Ovis aries: one gene and its partners. The protein of the gene in region 5 interacts with the protein of the main gene of each other region in a biochemical or structural test. Links are inferred from orthologs where the notes say so. Each region holds a gene or a part of one and is shown on either strand. Other genes may lie near its edges. The genes, in order: BIRC2, TNFAIP3, CRADD, OTUD1 and RIPK1.

The links.
Region 1: of the proteins of RIPK1 (region 5) and BIRC2, one has a biochemical effect on the other in vitro, tested with the Homo sapiens proteins (6 studies listed by BioGRID, with this or other methods). The link is inferred for Ovis aries from reciprocal best matches to the Homo sapiens genes RIPK1 and BIRC2.
Region 2: of the proteins of RIPK1 (region 5) and TNFAIP3, one has a biochemical effect on the other in vitro, tested with the Homo sapiens proteins (2 studies listed by BioGRID). The link is inferred for Ovis aries from reciprocal best matches to the Homo sapiens genes RIPK1 and TNFAIP3.
Region 3: the proteins of RIPK1 (region 5) and CRADD form a complex in vitro, tested with the Homo sapiens proteins (2 studies listed by BioGRID). The link is inferred for Ovis aries from reciprocal best matches to the Homo sapiens genes RIPK1 and CRADD.
Region 4: of the proteins of RIPK1 (region 5) and OTUD1, one has a biochemical effect on the other in vitro, tested with the Homo sapiens proteins (2 studies listed by BioGRID). The link is inferred for Ovis aries from reciprocal best matches to the Homo sapiens genes RIPK1 and OTUD1.

The regions. Positions count from the first base shown.
Region 1 is NC_056068.1:6,036,678-6,040,191, reverse strand, and holds part of BIRC2 (baculoviral IAP repeat-containing protein 2), read left to right. Parts: intron 1-2,161; coding exon 2,162-2,240; intron 2,241-2,843; coding exon 2,844-2,892; intron 2,893-3,514. UniProt on the Homo sapiens protein: Multi-functional protein which regulates not only caspases and apoptosis, but also modulates inflammatory signaling and immunity, mitogenic kinase signaling, and cell proliferation, as well as cell invasion and metastasis.
Region 2 is NC_056061.1:63,031,972-63,035,485, forward strand, and holds part of TNFAIP3 (tumor necrosis factor alpha-induced protein 3), read left to right. Parts: intron 1-888; coding exon 889-1,079; intron 1,080-1,714; coding exon 1,715-1,862; intron 1,863-2,017; coding exon 2,018-2,188; intron 2,189-3,026; coding exon 3,027-3,207; intron 3,208-3,514. UniProt on the Homo sapiens protein: Ubiquitin-editing enzyme that contains both ubiquitin ligase and deubiquitinase activities.
Region 3 is NC_056056.1:130,163,173-130,166,686, forward strand, and holds part of CRADD (death domain-containing protein CRADD), read left to right. Parts: intron 1-1,199; coding exon 1,200-1,501; 3' UTR 1,502-3,514. UniProt on the Homo sapiens protein: Adapter protein that associates with PIDD1 and the caspase CASP2 to form the PIDDosome, a complex that activates CASP2 and triggers apoptosis.
Region 4 is NC_056066.1:23,757,028-23,761,330, forward strand, and holds the start of OTUD1 (OTU domain-containing protein 1), read left to right. Parts: upstream 1-1,491; 5' UTR 1,492-1,683; coding exon 1,684-3,132; 3' UTR 3,133-4,303. UniProt on the Homo sapiens protein: Deubiquitinating enzyme that specifically hydrolyzes 'Lys-63'-linked polyubiquitin to monoubiquitin.
Region 5 is NC_056073.1:49,697,685-49,701,976, reverse strand, and holds the start of RIPK1 (receptor-interacting serine/threonine-protein kinase 1), read left to right. Parts: upstream 1-1,489; 5' UTR 1,490-1,749; exon of another isoform or gene 1,750-1,920; intron 1,921-2,197; exon of another isoform or gene 2,198-2,847; intron 2,848-3,582; exon of another isoform or gene 3,583-3,844; intron 3,845-4,292. UniProt on the Homo sapiens protein: Serine-threonine kinase which is a key regulator of TNF-mediated apoptosis, necroptosis and inflammatory pathways.

The DNA of each region.
Region 1 (3,514 bases), on a different chromosome or scaffold from region 5:
TGACCATATTAAAATTTTTTTTTTTCTTTGAAGTATAAAAATTGCTTTTGGCTTCCCTTGTGACTCAGACAGTAAAGAATCTGCCTGTAATGCAAGAGACCTGGGTTTGATCTCTGGGTGGGGAAGATCCCCTGGAGAAGGGAATGTCTGCCCACTCCAGGATTCTTGCCTGGAGAACTCTATGGACAGAGGAGCCTCGCGGGCTACAGTCCATGGAGTTCACAAAGACTCGGCCACGACTGAGCGACTAACACTTCAACAACAAAGTCATAATTGCTTCTAACCACATTGTTTTTGCTGTATGTATATTATGTCCCCATGGCTTATTTATTTTATCATTGAATTTTATATCTAAATCACTTTCACCTATTTCCCTATATGCTTGTGAATACTACTTTAGATGCTGGAGATATTAACAGTGAATAAGATACGACAGAAATCTTAGTCCTCATAGAATTTATTGGAAGGAGGAAATATGGAGCAGCCAATGTTCAGTATACTTCCTATCTTTAATCATTATAAGTTAATCCCAGAATAAAAATAATTTAGACCTATATTAAGATCAGGAACAAGCTGTGTTCTCGGCATGATGACTTGAGTCATGAGCATGTTTACATGATCTCTACTAAATCTACCTCAGTCACCACCTGAAGGACATTGGGTTGTTTCCATTTTGGAGCAATAATGAGTAAAGCCACTCTAAAAATTAGTAAACCTTTGTGAACTTGTTTTCATTTCATTTAGGTAAATACTTTAAATACTTAGAATTGGGATTAGTGGGTTGGATGGCAAGTTTTATTTACCATTGTAACTTTAGAAGAAACTACCAGATTGTTTTCTGAAGTGGCTGTATCATTTTAAATTCACACCAGGAATGTATGAGACCTCCAAGTATTCCAGATTCTTAATGACATGTGGTAGTATCTTTTTTATTTTAGCCATTCTAATAGATGTGTAGTGGTATTTCACTGTGATTTTAATTAGCATTTCCTTAGTGATTAATGATGTTTATTTGTTGTCTATATAAGTTGTCCCTCAGTGTCAGCAAGGAATTGGTTCCAGGACACTCCCAGGGTTTCCCCTCAAGAAACCAAAATCCATGGGTGCTCAAGTTCCTCATAAGACATAGTAGAGTCAGCCCTTTGTATCTGTGGGTTCTTCATTCTTGGAACTGTGTTTTCTTTGATGAAGTGTCTCTTTTCAAGAAGTTGTTTTTTTTTTTTAATTGCTAGGTTTTGAGAGTTCTTAATGTATTCTAGATACAGGTTCTGCATCAGGTGTGTTCTGGAACATTTCAGTCTGTGACTTTCTTTTTTATCTTTTTAACAGTGTATTTGATGAGCAGGAGTTTTTAATTTTGATGATGTCAGTTTATCAATTTATCTTTTATGGATTATGCTGTTGGTTTATTAGCTAAGAAATCTTTACTTAACCTAAGGACAAAAAGATTGTCTCCTGTGTTTTCTTCTAGAAGTTATATTGTTTTAGGTTTTGTATTTAAGCATCTGGTCCATTTTTAGTTTGTTTCTGTGTACAGTATGGACATAGATAAAGGCTAATATTTATGAATATTGAGTTGTCTATGTCCATTTGTTGAAAAATCAAAAGGGAAGAAATAGAAACAAATGTTATATGAACTTCCTGGAATAACCATTGAGAAATTCTAGTAATTTGAAAGCAAGTATTTGGGAAACACTGTCACAGTATATATAGATGAAAATACTTGATACTCTATTTTTTTAGGGGATTTGTGCTTTCTGTATAATGGAAGAGTGGACAGTGGAGAAAGATTAGCAGTCATTTTGTGAAAGATCATATTTTAGGCATACCACATTACAGTTCCTGAAACTTATGTTAAACTCGCAAAGTAAATTGTCTGGAACAGCATTTTCTAAGTCTTAGCTTTTTCTCCTTTGAGGTCCAGACTCCTTTATTGTTGTATTAATGTAATTAAAAAAATCAGAATGTATCAATACATAGTAAAAATTTGTGATGTTTTATGAGAATTTTGTTTCTGTTAGGTGTATATGTGTACTAGGTTGTGATGTAAAATGTTTGTACTATGGGATATAGTCCAAGAGTTTGAAAACCGCATTTCTAGAATGATCAGAGTATATTTTTGGCATAAAAGAATTTTAAAAATTTTCCTTTTATGTTTTAGGTGTGAGTTCTTGATACGCATGAAAGGGCAGGAGTTTGTTAGTGAGATTCAAGCTAGATATCCTCATCTTCTTGAACAGGTAAATATGTTTTTATAATTGGCAACATTGGATTCTCCTAGATAACAATTACAAAATATGATTAAAAGTGATCTTTATATCTTTTTAAAGTTAATTATAGTTATATGTTTTATGTCCATCTTAATGACACTTTTAAGTTTTATTTTCAGACTACCTTGTCTGTTCATGGCTTTTAAAAACTATTTTTTAGTTTTTTGAAAAGTCACATAACCTGCCCCTGTACAGATTTGTGGTAGGGTTGGAGAAGAGTCTTTAGTATCTACTCCGTCTTTTTGAGAAAAATAAACAAAAAATAACTTTTTAGGAATTTGGAACCTCAGAGAGTGGTTAAGCTGAAATACAACTTTCTAAGTGGAATGAGAAACCATTAATACTTTTTCCTGCTTTCCTGATACTTAAATTCTAATATGGAATTAACTGAAGTTTAAGGAAATATTTTATGGTGATTAAGATAAAGCATAGCAAAGTGCAGTATGTAAACTACCCAGTTTTCAAAGCATGTGCATAGTACTTAAGATAAACTTACCTTAATGTTGCTATGCTCAGATTGTTTGAGATTCTGGATTTTACCTTTTTTTTTTTTTTTTTTGTCCTGTTTCATAGCTGTTGTCAACTGCAAATACTCCTGGAGATGAAAATGCTGATCCACCAAGTATGTATGAAAATATCCCGAATAAAGAATAGGATTTAAGAGTATTGAAAATAAAAGTTTGTATATAAAGGATTTCTAGGGTTATAGAAAAAAGTGCTAAGAAGTTAGCTAATAAATATTATGTACGTTTTCTATCCTCTAGAGAAGGGAATGGCAACCCACTCCAGTATTCTTGCCTGGAGAATTCCATGGACAGAGGAGCCTGGCAGGCTGCAGTCCATGGGGTTGCAGAGAGTCGGACATGACTGAGCGACTGAGCACATACACACACATCTATCTTCTAAGATTCATGACATTTTTAGAGGATTCTTGGAAGTATTCTAGTTTTTGTTCTTAAAGTGCTTATATTCTAATTGGGGAGACAAAATAGGAATACCAAATGAGAGGAGCAAATAGTAAGCCCTCCAAAGAGGGAAAATTTGGTATAAACTATCATGTTTGGAAAGGGCCAGGTTACATGATTTGAGAATTGGGCTAGAAAAGTATTTGCCTGGTATGTAGTATTTTAGTGCAAGGGTAGGAAATACATATTCTGATTATAGTTTATAATTTTAGCTACATCTGGCATTTAGTGTAAAGTGTTATTTAGTCTGCTGTTACCTTAGTAACTTTCTGTCTGGAT
Region 2 (3,514 bases), on a different chromosome or scaffold from region 5:
TGCCAGCCGTAAACACTGAATCAATTTTCAAATGTAGACATCTAGACACTCTTTAACTCTGAAAAGGGACTCTAATTGCTAACAGGCGGGTTCACACAAGGCATTTATGGGAGGTAGGGGTGAGCAGGCTAGTAGGTAATTCCGTCTCAATCCCATTTTATAAATCAGGAGAGGAAACTCCCAGGCCCTGCTTGCTGTGGTGGGCTGGTCAAGTCATTTACCCCTGAGTCATGGCCAGACGGTCCCTGTCTAGTAAGCGGAGCCAGACCAGCTTCCTGGTTTGAGCATGTTGCTCTGGGTGTTCTCTCTCAGGGTCAGAGAGCAATAGGACCAGCATCTGAGCCAGAAGATCAAGGCTTGTTAGAAAGGAAGGGACTTCAGAGATCATAATCCAATACCCTCATCTCACAAAGAGGAAAAATACTCAGAGGTTAAAAAATTCCCCACTGAGGGCAGAACCAGACTGGAGTCAAGGTCTCCAGACTCTCAGTCCTTGGTTCCTTGGGCTTTGTTAGAAGCATTCATTAAACAGAAGAGTTACAAGAAAGATTTTTTATTTTTCCCTTAAAGCTGTCATCACCTAGTGAAATGTTACCAGCTGGTCCTTTGACAGGGAGGTGGGAAGAGGATTCAGGATTGGGAACACATGTACACCCATGTCGGATTCATGTTGATGTATGGCAAAACCAATTCAATATTGTAAAGTAATTAGCCTCCAATTAAAATAAATAAATTTAAATTAAAAAAAAGAAAGAAACTAAACCTTTGGCGTTTCTCACAAGCACTACTGGGTCCCCACTTACGGTAGCAGAGAGGCTGGTTTATTCTGGAAACCTCTGCTAGGCCTTAGATTCGGATTGCTAGAATTTGCTTCCCTTCTGTCCTCAGGTGACGGAAACTGCCTCATGCACGCGGCTTCTCAGTACATGTGGGGTGTTCAGGACACAGACTTGGTCCTGAGGAAGGTGCTCTTCAGCACCCTCAAGGAGACGGACACGCGCAACTTTAAATTCCGCTGGCAGCTGGAGTCTCTTAAGTCTCAGGAATTCGTGGAAACTGGGCTTTGCTACGACACCCGGGTATGTTGGGGTTCCTCCTCAAACATTTATTGACAGAGCTCCATGGTGGGAAAACTGCATCTCCAGCCAGTCCCTGCTGTCAGGGAGCATATGGTTTGCTGGGTCACGTGAACTTGGCTAAGCAGAGTCAATGGAAAACACCAGAAACCTCCCATGGGATGAACCCAAGGCCCTTGTCACTGCTGGGAGGCTCCCAGGCAGCATCTTCCCAGCTGGAGAGTCATTCTAGAATGATCTTTCTGATCACAGGTTTCCCTGTGGCATTTTGGCTGTTTGGGGAGTTTGATGACCCTTGCTTGCTTTACTGAGCCCGTCAGTCAGATTCAGAGGGCACCTCCCCATCTTCGGCCACAAGGCTGGGACTCTGTGCACAAGGAGCTCGGCGTGGTGTTTCAGCAGGGATTTTTCTGAAAGCAGGTGCTGTCCCCCTGCTCCTCTGCTTCTGAGTTTGCCTTGTAATGGGAAAAAGTAAAGGAAGAAAACCAGAATTGGGGGGAAAATGGGTGATAATTTGAGTGATGATCTTAAGAAAGGGTAAAAGTAAGCTCAGTGATACCAGTGAATAATTATAGAGTGGAGCCAAAGTTGTTTTTTAATGCAGAATGCATTCAATAGTTTCTTTCCTCTCCCCTTAGAATTGGACCGATGAATGGGACAACCTCGTCAAGATGGCATCCGCAGACACACCTGCAGCCCGAGGTGGACTGCAGTATCATTCACTGGAAGAAATACACATATTTGTCCTTTGCAACATCCTCAGAAGGCCAATCATTGTCATTTCAGGTGAGATGCCTGCTGATGGCGTCTCTGTATTTAGGTGCCTTTCAGCTTTAATCCCTTACCTCTTAGCATGACCCAAGTTCCAAGCATCCATAGCTAAATGGACTCCCATGAAAGTCTCAGAGGGCCTTATCTTTTCTTTCTCTTTCCTTAAACAGACAAAATGCTGAGAAGTTTGGAATCAGGTTCCAATTTTGCTCCTCTGAAGGTGGGTGGGATTTACCTGCCTCTGCACTGGCCTGCCCAGGAATGCTACAGATACCCCATTGTGCTCGGCTATGACAGCCAACACTTTGTACCCCTGGTGACCATGAAGGACAGTGGACCTGGTGAGAAAACCAAGCATCTATTCACATTTGTAACTGCTTCTGAATCCTGCTACACCCTGTTCTTACTGAACGTCAGGGTTTGCTCTTTGGCTCCTTTTTGAAAGCCTCATTTAAGTATATTAGTTTTATTTAAATATAGTATTCTGTAATTTGTTTGATTAGCAACAATAATGCACTCACACTAATCATAATGCCCCCCCCATCCCCTCTTGTTTTGTGTGTCGTTTGGGACCGACTTTGAGCATGTTAGTGGCAAATAGGAGATAATGTCTATTACTGCCACCATTTCTTAATTAACCCGTAATACAGTGCCTGGCCTGGGGCAAGTAAATGTCTGGCAGGCTAGCTATTACTGTACTAGCTTAATGTGGAACTAATAGGGTACTTTATAAATGCTTTAGGTACAATATTTTATTTCATTTCATCTTCACAGCATCCATGTGGATGCTATAAGCACTGATAGCCTTACTGTACAGATGAGGCACCTGAAGCTCAGAGAAGTTAAGTAACTTCCCTAATATCACAGAGCTGGATAGTGGCAGAGTCAGAATCTGAACTCAGGTCAGTCTGAATCTGAAGTGCAGTAATTTAACCAGTAAGACCCGCTGCTTGGAGGCTGCTTTATATTCTGTGAACTTCCTGGAAACAGTATATTTTATATTAGAGTTTAGCACAGTTTGTTTCCCCATTTGATTTTGTGGCTAGATAATACTTTTCCATTCTGTAATTGTATCCTTTCTGCATTTTCAAAATGCAGTCGTTATATATATATATGACCTCACACAAAATCTTGTTTAGTAGAATCATTTTGCTTACGTGCTATTTCTTTTTCCCTCAGAAATCCGAGCTGTTCCACTTGTTAACAGAGAGCGAGGACGATTTGAAGACTTAAAAGTTCACTTTTTGACAGTTCCTGAAAACGAGATGAAGGAAAATCTCCTGAAAGAGTACTTGATGGTGGTAGAAATCCCCGTTCAGGGCTGGGACCATGGCACCACCCATTTAATTAATGCTGCAAAGTAAGCAGTTTGTTTTTGGCTCTTTCCTGTGTCATCTTTAAGCTGCTTCTGCCTCAGAGACCAATAGTAAAGTTATTTGAAGCCAGTTTCCTCCAACGTGAAACAAATTTAGGGGCTTGTGTGTGTCAGAGACAATCAGCTTAAGTGGCACTGACTTTGGTTTTCAAATGAAAACAAGGAATTTTTCCAGAGGCTTGTCCTGTGTATCTGGATGCTTGGAAGCCAGCACGGTGGCTTCAAAAAGTGCGTTCACATCAAGGATACTTTTTTTTCTTTTAATTGCCCTAGTGCTAGACTAACAAGTGAA
Region 3 (3,514 bases), on a different chromosome or scaffold from region 5:
CCTTGGGGAGACAGGGCTCCCGTTTAGGGGCTGCACTGTCAGGCTCTGCCACTGCTGTCGGCAGCGCATGCTTGCTCTCTTCTGAGCTCAGCCAGGTGGTCATTCTCCCGTGATCTGTGCTGCTCCCTCATGGCCTTTTATTTCTTGCTTCGGGCCTTTCTTAGCTCATGCTTCTGTAGCAACTGTCACTTTTCTCGGAGGTGTTCACGTTGGTCAGGAGAGACTAGCTGTTCTGTACAGCCCGTTACCCTCTAGCAAATTACCCTCTAGCACTGGCCATTCCTACAGGACGCAACACCACAGGCCAGTTCCAGAGGGAGGAGGGCCACAAAGGCATCCTTAGGTGCCCCCAGAAGCTTCAGCTTGGCCTCCCTAGTGAAGGAGATGAAAGTGAAAAATGCGTGTTACAAGGTATCGTGTGTGTTAGTTGCTCAGCTGTGTCCAACTCTTTGTAACCCCATGGACCATAGCCTGCCAGTCTCCTCTGCCCATGGAGTTCTCCTGGCAATAATACTGGAGTGGGTTGCCATTCCCTTCTCCAGGGGATCTTCCCTACCCAGGGATTGAACCTGGGTCTGCTCTATTGCAGGCAGATTCTTTAACATCTGAGCAGTACCCGCAGTGTAATCCTAAATGTATGTTTTATGCATAAAAGACTGAAAATAAAGTAAAAATAAAAAAATTTTTTTAAAAAGACTGAAAAGAAATAGACCGAAGTATTTTGAATGGGTGTTTCTCTGATGGGATTTCAGGTTATTTTTATTTTCTTGTTTTCACATTTTCTGTAATAAACCTATCCCTAGGTGCTAAGTGCTTCTTAAGCCCCTGCATATGGCTTTTTGCTGAGCAGCCCCTGTGAAGACTAAAAGTTGGCCCCTGACGCTTGGGATGTGTGTCATCATTTCTGCCTGGCCCTGCCCGTCTGATGTGTTTGGGCTTCCCTGGTGGCTCAGACAGTAAAGAATCTGCCTGCAGTGCAGAAGACCTGGGTTCAATCCCTGGGTTGGGAAGATCCCCTGGAGAAGGGAATGGTTACCCACTCCAGTGTTCTTGCCTGGAGAAACCCATGCACAGAGGAGCCTGGCGGGCTCTAGTCCATGGGGTCACGTAGAGTCAGACACAGTTGAGCACCTAACCCTTTTCTCGCTGTCTAATATGTTGCCTCCCTCTCTTCACCATGGTGTCTTTCTCCTCCCCAGATGCCCGGATGGCTGGAATCCCCCCGCACATCCTGCACAGCTCCCCGTCCGACCGGCAGATCAACCAGCTGGCCCTGAGGCTGGGCCCCGAGTGGGAGCCTGTGGTGCTGTCTCTGGGGCTATCCCAGACAGACATCTACCGCTGTAAGGCCAACCATCCCCACAACGTGCAGTCCCAGGTGGTGGAGGCCTTCGTGCGCTGGAGGCAGCGCTTCGGGAAGGAGGCCACCTTCCAGAGCCTGCACAGGGGCCTCCAGGCAGTGGACGTGGACCCCTCGGTGCTCCAGCACATGTTGGAATGACTGGGCCCTCGTCCATGCTTGGGGCTAGTCACATGGCTGAATCGAGACTCTCACCAGGGCAGGTAGATTTGGGGGTGGGGTTGTTTCTTTGTCATGGTGATTTTTAGATGAGAGGAAATAGTGGAATTTGCACTTGACGTTAGTTGACAAGCGGGATTACTCAGGAGATTTGCCAGAATGAATTGACAGTTGACTTTCTAATTGCTCAAATACTGCATTTTTTGAATTGTGCAGGTTTTAATTGTGTGGTTGCCTTTTAATAGACTGGTGAGTCCTACTCGTTAAAAAAAAAAATACAGGTATTCTGTGTATAAATCACCCACTTTTATGTTGCCTGGGAACTCTACAGTGGACTTAACTATTAATGATGACAATAATAAAAACAAATTGCTGTATATAATGTAGCCCTTTCATGAGAAAGTATTGCTTTTTTTCCCCCTTTCATTCTTGTATTGCCTAGATTTAGGGTATAAAATTATGGTAGTTGTGTCTTTAGAACAGAATTGATAGTAACAGTGGAATAGTTACTTGCTCTAGTCAGGATGAATAGCTCAGGCAGGGTGTCTGCATTGAAGTTAAGACACTAAAGCTCCCTGCAAAGACCAGTTCAAGTACCAGCATGCATACCTGAGCCCTTTAGCTTTAAAAGATTTGCTTAAGAAAATCCTGTGCCCTTTATTTAAAGAACTGGAGGTTGGGGGACAGTGTGGTCTTTCTCCTGAAGCTGTGATGATTGACGCGTTATGCTCCTAAGGTCTATCTATGACCTAGTCTTCTGACTTTTTAAAATAACACATGCTATTTGTCAAATGCTCTACTGTTTTCAAGGCCTTTAGTACATAGGATCTCATTTGGATCTCACAAAAAGCCTGTGAAGTAGTTGAGCAAGAGGTGAGCTCCATCCTGTAGCAAGATGGAGTGATTTACTAGCAGCATCTCCCTGGACAAGTTACTTTACTTCTTTAAGCCTCAGTCTCCTCATTTGTAGAGTGAGGCAATGACTGTCCTCACCTCCAAGATACTTGTGACAAGTGAAAGAATAACGTCTGCCTTGGGCTCATCCAGTGCCTGGCCCGTCGTCAGCTCTTGGGAAATGGTAGCTGTTAATTTTCTGCCGTGGCTAAACATGGATACAGTTCCCAGGTCAAGGGGACCAGTGGCTAAAGCTGAGGGTTCTGTAGGAGGAAGTGCTGTTACCATGTTTCTGGTCAAGCTTTAAAAGGTGATCTGCTTTTATTAATGCTATTATGAGTCCAATAAAGAGAGTGCAGACTTCCCTGGTGGTCCAGGGACTAAGACTTATGCTCTCGATGCAGGCGGCCCAGGTTCGATCCCTGGTCAGGAAACTAGATTCCACATTCTGCAGCTAGAAGTGTACATGCTGCAGGTAAAGACTGAGGGATCCTCATGCCACAACTAAGGCCCAGGATAGCCAAATAACTAAGTCATAATAATTTATTTTAAACAGTAACAGGTGAACATTCCCATTTGTGATCCATCCTTTGGAATAATTGGAGAATCTATTTCCCAATACCAACCTAACTCAGAATTCTTCAAAGGGAAAAATATTCTGAGGGGAAGCATAGGAGTAGTGAGGTTTGACAGAAGGTAGGTCTTCAAGACGATGACAGTGGTGTGTTAATTACATTCTGTCAGGTGTCTGGTAACCATATTCTCTTTCCTAAAAAGGATCAGTTATTTAACAGTCCAGCAGTTTGGCAGTTTGGCTCACTGGTCTTATCACCTCTAATTTTCCATCCTGTAGTCCAGTCATTAATTCATGATCTTGTAAAATCCTTAAACTTTTGGCCTCATCATTGCACTGAGTGACTGTACTTCCGCAGTATCTTCAATAACTGCTTGTCACTTTGAACTCTGGACTTGCGTTGCTGTTCGTCCCCCGGATTTGCTAACAGAGAGTTATTTCAGCTTTTGTTCTCACCGCATTTATGGATGAGGGAGTACAGCTGGGCTGGACTGCACTCAGTTAGATGACATTTTATTAGTGGACCT
Region 4 (4,303 bases), on a different chromosome or scaffold from region 5:
ATTTAGGTAACTTCCTTTTTCTAGTTAGCCAGTGGGGTCTACAAGCTTACAGTGGGGTGTCACCAGAAGCTGAAAAGACGGTTAGACTTTTATGTGGTTGTTTTTCCTTCCAGTTGACCTACCTAACAGGTTCAAGTGACCTGGGCAAAGGCAGCTGGGATCCTGTCAGTCACACGCACGACGGCAAATTGAAGCTCTGGCTAGGGGTCAGGAGACCAGGATCGTAATTCTGCCTTTTCCACTGTTTTGGGAACTCCTCTTCCATTAATTAACTCATTCAATAAATATTAATTAGTTCCATCTATGTGCCAGCCTCTGTGCTGGGTTTGTAACTATAATAGCCATCAAGACTAAGTCTTTCCATTCAGGGAACCTAAGATTCACAAAACAATACGTGGAGTGGGGAGGCTTATACCATAACATAAGCTATTTCCTCATCACTGAAACAGTGAAACAGCTTTGTAGGTTCACTCTGAACATTTAGGGTCTGTCAGTTAGCATGTGATCAAAGCTGAGAATATAGCAAGAGCTGCCCACTGCTATACAGTCAGTATACAAGTTGATCATGACCATTTTAGCTTTCCTTTACAAACAGGGACATCTAACACAATAGGGTAGAACTATGTTCAAGATTCTATTCAATTTCAACATTCTCGCAATGCATCACGACCCTCTTTACCGCTGACCTACGGTGAACAGCTGCACCTATTTTCAAGAGGCCCGGTTAGGCATTTGGTATTTCACCCAAGACTTGTATTTGCTTATCAAATACGGGTTAGGACAGCAGAAAAGTTGGTTTCGGTTTAGCAGGGCGGCAAGGTGCTGGGGAGAAAGGGAGGCGTCACACTGCTACGTTAACAATATAATCTCAGGGTTGAGTGAAAAAGATGGCAGTGGTGCAATGACCATGCAGAGGCCATGCAGGTTTTAGGGCAGCTGTCCCCACGCAGAACTCGGAAGCTTGTTTTGAAACGCACTTTCAGCACTCTTGGCCGCCCCAAGCTGCCCCGAACCCTCTAAGATCCACCGCTAAAGCGTAGAAAAGCGCGGCGCCTAGAAACTAACACTGAGGTGGGGCAGCGGCCACGGCTGCACAGGCCTCCGCGCCCTCCCGCCCGCGCGCCCGTCGCCCGCGCTGCGGGCCACGCCCATGACGTCACCGAATGGGGCGGGGCGAGACGGAGGGGGTGGGGCGAGCCCCGGCGGTTGAATGGGACGCCGCGACGAGCCGCACATTCCAATAAGGGCACGTGACGCGGCAGCGCTGCCTGAGGTAAACAACCGTGGCCCCGCCTCCTGGCTCGTCCGCGCGCCCTGCAGAGCTGCTAGCCGGCGGGACGCGCTCCAGCAGGGCGGGCGGCTACCTCTGAGAGTCCTCAGCGGCCGCCGCGGGCCGGAGCAGCGACGGCGGGCGCACGCGTCCCGGGTCTGCGGGCCGCTAGCGCCGGCAGGGGTCGAGCGCGCGTCCCCTCCCCGCCCCCACCGCGCGCTGTGGCGCAGCAGGAATTTGGCGGGGACCCGGGCGCTATTTGCAGCTCCTGACGCGCCGGCGGCCCTTCGGTCATTTCTATTCTCAGGGCACTGGGTCACCGCGCTCGGCCGGCCCCCTCCCCCGGGCCCGGAGGGTGTGTCCCCTCACTAGGGCTCGGCGCGCCTATAAGGGGCCGAGCGGCGGGCAGGGACATGCAGCTCTACAGCAGCGTCTGCACCCACTACCCAGCCGGGGGCCCGGGTCCCACGGCCGCAACCGCCGCTCCGCCCGCCGCCGCCACTGCCGCCTCGTTCAAGGTCTCTCTGCAGCCCCCGGGACCCGCCGGTGGCGCCCCGGAGCCCGAGACCGGTGAGTGCCAGCCGGCCGCGGCCGCCGAGCCCCGCGAAGCCGCCGCCGCTCCCGCCGCCAAGATGCCCGCCTTCTCCTCCTGCTTCGAGATGGTGTCCGGGGCCGCCGCCCCCGCCTCGGCCGCCGCCGCCGCCGGGCCGCCCGGCGGGTCCTGCAAGCCGCCTCTGCCGCCGCACTACACGTCCACAGCGCAGATCACCGTGCGGGCCCTGGGCGCCGACCGGCTCCTGCTGCGCGGCCCCGAGCCCGGCGCCGCGGCTTCCGCCGCCCCACGCGGCCGCTGCCTCCTGCTGGCCCCGGCACCAGGCGCTCCGATCCCGCCGCGGCGGGGCTCCTCGGCCTGGCTTCTGGAGGAGCTGCTGAGGCCCGATGGCCCGGAGCCTGCCGGTCTGGACGCGACCCGCGAGGGGCCCGACAGAAACTTCCGACTGAGCGAGCACCGCCAGGCCCTGGCCGCCGCCAAGCACCGCGGCCCCGCGCCGCCCCCGGGAAGCCCGGAGCCCGGCCCTGGCCCGTGGGCCGAGGAGCGCCCGGCAGAGAGGAACCTCCGCGGCTGGGACAGAGCTGGCGACCGCGGCGACGCTCCCGGCGCCGAAGAGCCGGGGCGACCCGACCCGGAGGCCGAGGCGGCCCCGGCCCGGAGCGGCGAGGCGGCCCCGGGCGGCGCGACCGAGGCGGTGATCGTGTCCAGGTCGGATCCTAGGGACGAGAAGCTGGCCCTGTACCTGGCGGAGGTGGAGAGGCAGGACAAGTACCTGCGGCAGAGGAACAAGTACCGATTTCACATCATTCCCGACGGCAACTGCCTCTACCGGGCGGTAAGCAAGGCGGTGTACGGGGACCAGAGCCTGCACCGGGAGCTACGGGAACAGACGGTGCACTATATCGCCGACCATCTCGACCACTTTAGCCCCTTGATTGAGGGCGACGTGGGGGAGTTTATCATCGCTGCTGCCCAGGACGGGGCCTGGGCCGGGTACCCCGAACTGCTGGCCATGGGGCAGATGCTGAATGTGAATATCCATCTGACTACTGGAGGGAGGCTGGAGAGCCCCACGGTGTCTACCATGATTCACTATTTGGGCCCGGAGGATTCCCTAAGGCCTAGCATTTGGCTCAGTTGGCTCAGTAACGGACATTATGACGCGGTGTTTGATCACTCGTATCCGAACCCGGAGTATGACACTTGGTGCAGGCAGACTCAAGTGCAGAGAAAACGCGATGAAGAACTTGCGAAGTCCATGGCCATATCCCTGTCCAAAATGTATATTGAGCAAAATGCATGCTCTTGAAGTGTCTGAGACCCTCGGCCTGGGAAAATTGCATACCTAATTTGTGTTTGGAGAGTTATATGAACTTTAATCAGGGTAATTGCACTTTTAAACTTTCTAGTAGATTTACTGTAGGTGTAATGCCTTAATCATTTTTTTGAATGTTTTCTCCTCAGAGCTGAAGGTTGCTGGGCACCTAAATGATGTTTCATAGTAGCTTTGGGTGATCCTACTGCTATTTATGATTTGCTGTATAAAGTTGGCACTACTTAATTTGCAAGCTGATTTCTCAGTGTAAATTTGTTCATTCCTGGTAATCTATTTTCTATAAAAACGTATTTTTGCACAACATTTTTAACAATTGGTGTACCTTCATCTAGGATGTGATCCATTTTGACAAACAGCTTTCCGGCATAAATCCAGAGAAGTGCTTTATATGAAGTTTATTATTTTGAGCAGAGTTTGTGATTTCGTATTTTATGTTGTTGGATTTGAATTTTAGAGTTCTTAGATAATTATTTCAAATGGCTATTGATGCTTTCATGTTACCAGATAATTGGCCCATTCCGTTTTGATGACAGATTAGTTGTTTGGAAAATCATTATTTTTCTAGAAATGGTCAACCTTTTAAAGAGAAAATACTTAAGGGGAGGTTGTGGGAAGATTTTTTTTTTTAAAGAATAGTACCAGCTCTTACTTGAATGAAAGTCTGATATTTGCTGATGGCAGAGTGATTATTCTGTACTCCAGTTGATGTTTAGATTGTCTGGTGCTCTCGGTTGTTCTTATTTATATTTGTCTTTTGTTGAAAAGAATTTTTTAACATGATAGAAAACTTTGTGACAAGATAAGCCTCCTGCTTCATATATAGTTTCTTGGATTCAACTGAGAGATTTGAAAATTAATGGCATAAATGCCTCCAATCAACCCTGGCAATTATTTTATAGCAGGAGAATACTGTCTTAATGGTCTATTCCTTTTAAATTCTTTCACAAGGCAAAATAGGATTGCCCTGCATTATGTACAGTACAAATGTCTATACAGAGCTTGTATGGTTTGCTGGGTCAAACAATGTTTTCAACCTAAAATCTATCTCATTTCCACTTTAACTACTTTTAGTGGTATTTATTAAGTAATGCAGTTTGTACTTTTTTATTTTGTAACATTTTGTGATTTTTTTTGTACAATACTG
Region 5 (4,292 bases):
GTCAAGTGCTCCTAACCGACTCGCGTGACAGCAGACTCTAAGGGATTGACTCTTGGACTCACGTGACACACTTAAAGAGAGCGCTACCCCTACTGGACCTGCATGTCATCTGGTGACCTGAGAGTAGACTGTTCAGAATTGAAGCAGATGACTTCTAATGAGACAGTTTTCCCAAAATACTCAGAACAGGCCTGTTGGAGTTGGTCACCACACTTTCGATGACGACACTTCAGATGATCGCCACTGTCTGTTATCCTGGAAATGTGTGAACTTTAGGCAAAAAGTGTTCACAGTTCTGCTACTCCTTGTTACTCAAATGGAACCTCAATAGGTTTGCAATCCACACTTTCCCTCGGATGTGAAATTGTACAAAGGAAAGGGCCTCCCTGGCATTGAGATACGAAGTCACTGACACACAAAAATCTCACACTTGGATCACCACTGCTTTCTGAGAGATTCTGATCAAAAGGGGGAAATGTAAAAAACAAACACACAAAAAACAAATCTCAAAGAGTCAGGAGATAGAAAGGCTGGAGAATCTTTTCTAGCAGAAATCTTTTTTTTTCCCCGGCAATGATTCAGCCCATGAAAAGCAGTGGACTTTTAAAACATCTCTCCAACTTCCTTTTCCCCCATAAAGGTGTCCTCTCCATTTGCATGCAAGTTCCCAGGGTGGCAGACCTCAAATTGCAATTCTTTTCATAATAAACTTGTTTATGCTAGAGAAATAGTTGGCAGTCCATTTATTTTAGGCAGACAATATGTGGTGGCATCTCATTGGTTTTTCACAGTTTCCTAATATCCTATAATATTGAGCATCTTTTCATATACTTACTTGTCATTTGTATCGTGAGAAGTCTGTTGAGATCTTTTGCCTTTTCTCAATTGCATTTTTCCTTCTCTGGCATTTCTAGTATACTTTGGGTAACAGTATTTTATCAGCTATGCTTTCTGCAAATATTTTCTCAGTTTGTGGCATCTCATTACCTCCAGATATCTTTTTATAGTATGTAATCATGCTATATATATAATCAACTTTTCATCATAACACTATAGCAACCATTTCCCATTTTGCTTCAGACTTCCCAACCATCCTCGTATGATGCTGGTTCCTCCGCAGCCCCACAGAAGAGATTATCCCCACTTCACAGGTGAAGGAGATAAATGCCTGGGAGCTTGCTGCCTAGGGTTCCCGCGCTGCTGACCTGCAGAGCTCAGAATCCCCCGGGGAAGCAGCCCATCGTCTCCGGCCCTGCCCGCCGCGCCCGGCAGGTTTCTGTGAGTGGTTTCCGTGACTCGGCATTTCCTCTGTCCTCTCGGCCTCCCAAACCGCTCTGAGAGCACGATCCTCAGTCTGAGCGCGTCCCGGGGTTTCAGAACGGGCCCGGAGACCTTTCCAGACGCGGGGCGGGCGCTCTCCCCACCCTCCTCAGGGGCAGGAGCGGAGGCGGAGCGAGCAGTCCACGCCCTCCGCCGGCCGGGCTCCCTCAGTCGAAGCGCCGGCGGCGCGGACACCGCATCGGTGTCCCGGAGCGCTGACCCCGGAGCGCGGGGCCCCAGCGGGCCCACTCCGCGAGGAGCCCGAGCGCGCCGACCACTGGACAGCACGCGACGGACGGCTGGCCCGCGGAGCCGGGCGCGGTGAGGGCAGGGCAAGGCGGGGCGGTCCCCGCCCGCCTCCCAGCCGACGGCTCCGCCCCGGAGACCCCTAATCGGGCCCGGCGTGCCACCCCGGCCTGCGCCGGCCAGGTACTGCCGGGCGTCGGAGCAACTCTAGGCTGCCCCGCCGCCTCCTTCCTCACCCGGCCTGGGGCCTCAGGAAGTCTCCCGCGAAAGCGAAAGCGAATCTCTCGGTGCGTCAGCGCGGGACCGCCGGGCCCAGACCAGTCTCTGGGGCAGGCTTCCGGCAGGGGGCGGGGCTTCTGCTTCCGGTGGGTGGGGCGGGCGACGCGGCTGCCGGAGTTCGGGCGGTGGGCGTGGCCCGCGGCGTTCCTGAGGTCTGGCGGTGGGCCAGTGGGGTGGTGGGCGTGGCCCGCGAGTTCTCAGAAGGCAGACGGTGGGCCTTTAGGGTGGTGGACGTGGCCCGCGAGTTCCCGGAAGTCAGACGGTGAGCCGGTAGGATGGTGGGCGTGGCCCGCGAGTTCCCGGAAGTCAGATGGTGAGCCAGTAGGAGGGTGGGCGTGGCCCGCGAGCTCCCGGAAGTCGAGCGCCCAACTGCCAGCCGTCGGCGGTCCCTGCGGCGTCTCGTCTCGCCGGGAGTTTGGGTCTGGCGGGACCGGGCAGAGATTTGGCTCCCGCGCGATAACTGCCTGAGGTGGAGACGGCCCGCCACGTGGTTTGCGCTGTGGTGTCAGGGGAGGTGGCCGGTCTTCCCTGCGGTGTCGTTACGAGCTTTCGCCGCCCCGGGTCACGGGGGCGCCGGGGCCGCCGCTGCTCGCGACGCCGTCAGACGCCTTCCCGCGCCGTCTTCGAGGAGAGCTGGGAAAGAAGGGTCGACGGGCACGGCGGGGAGGGCGTCGTCCCCCGGTGGCGCGTGCTTTTACTAAGTGACTGAGCGCGCACACGCTCTCGTAGCCTCTTTAGAGTTTTGAAGAGGGTGAGCGCCACCCTTCTTTGCTCACGCTGGACAGCCTCCCACAGAGGCGGGGTTACTGTTCATTACTTTGTCTCTCGCTGTTCCTTCGGCTCTTCCTTGCTCGGAGCTCTTGCGTGTCCTGGACAAAGCCCGAGGCCCGTTACACTCAAGCGACTTTGCAATAGAACCGCTATTACTTCTCCCTCCATTCACACATGAAGAAATCAAGGCAGGAGTGACTTCTTCCTTGATCTACGTTTTGTAACCATCAGGTACGTAGGTGCAAGAGTGGGGAGGAGATTGTAGTCAATTATAAGTATGGGGAACTGCCCCCTTCTAAACACAAAAGGGAAAGAGGAAGCTTGTTTAAAGCAGTTGAGGTATCTCATCATCGTAATTATTATTACTGGTAAAACAACTATCATGATTAACTGTAATTTGCATGCTTCACTGAGCTGAATTGAGCACCACAGATACATTGCACTTTCAGGATTGTGAATATTCACGAGAATAAAGAAAAATATCCCTAAATAACAGTTTCCAAAATTGAAAATTTCTCTTGGATGCTTATTAATCAACAACATGGTAATACCACCAGTATGAGCTGGGAATTTGAAAAAGCACAGCTTCCCATGCTATGGTTGGACGTTATACTTCGGCAAAAATGATCGTGTTAACCTGTAGAATATTGATTTTGAACCGCATGTTTTCATATGTTTTTAAAATTTAGTCTGTACTTTCCCTATGTTTCTGAATGTAGCATACTTATTTAGTATAGGTGAGCAAAATTGTAAGATTAGGTCTTTGAATCTGATTTTAAGGAAGACAAATTATTGTTTACTCTCTGGAGAAGTAGCATGTGTTACTGAACTGATAGTGGAAATTTGAGTGAAGACATTAAGACTCAATTCTGGGATCTGTTACTCTAGGTGAATCATTAAACTCCAAATTATAGTTTCTCAGTTTGTAACTTGGAACCGATGTATTAATAAGTTGGTACTTCACAGGGTCATCATGTGCAAGATACACTGGGTTGAACTCTTGTAGTTTTCTCTCTTGCTCAGAGCTCTTGTTTATCTGAGGCAAAGCATCAAGCAGTTAAAATCAAAGAACCTTGAGAAATTCCCATTGGATGCCTGAGTAAAAACAGAGTTCCATGTGCAGAGGAAAAGGGGGTCATGATAGTCGGGTAGCCAGCATTTTCTGTCAGACTCCTCATGTATGGTCCTCACTGAAACACTGAAAAAAATCGCCCTCAACCACTTAAAGGTAAATATGAAATTTTTTTAACTTAAAAAAATTATTTATTGTGATACACAGAAAAGAACACACATCATAACTGTTTGACTCTCTTAATTGTCCTGAAGTGAACATTAAGAAGAGACAAGTATCGCCCTCACGCCCGACACTTCCTTCCTTCCCTGCTGGCTGCTTCCACCTCTCAGTAACTACTGCCCTAAGTGTTAACATTGTAGATTCATTTTCCCTGGCTTTTTGATGTTATATATTGTTAGTTATTTGTATTCTTCCCCAGTTTTACTGAAGTATAGTTGACAAAATTGAATGTCGATATGAATATTTTTTATATAGACTTACAGATAACTTGTGAAGTTTCTTGGAATTTCCAATTAATTTCAATTAATTTCCAATTAATTTCAATTAATTTTCCAATTAATTTTGAAAATCCATTAAAATAGACCGTTATATTCTCTGTTGA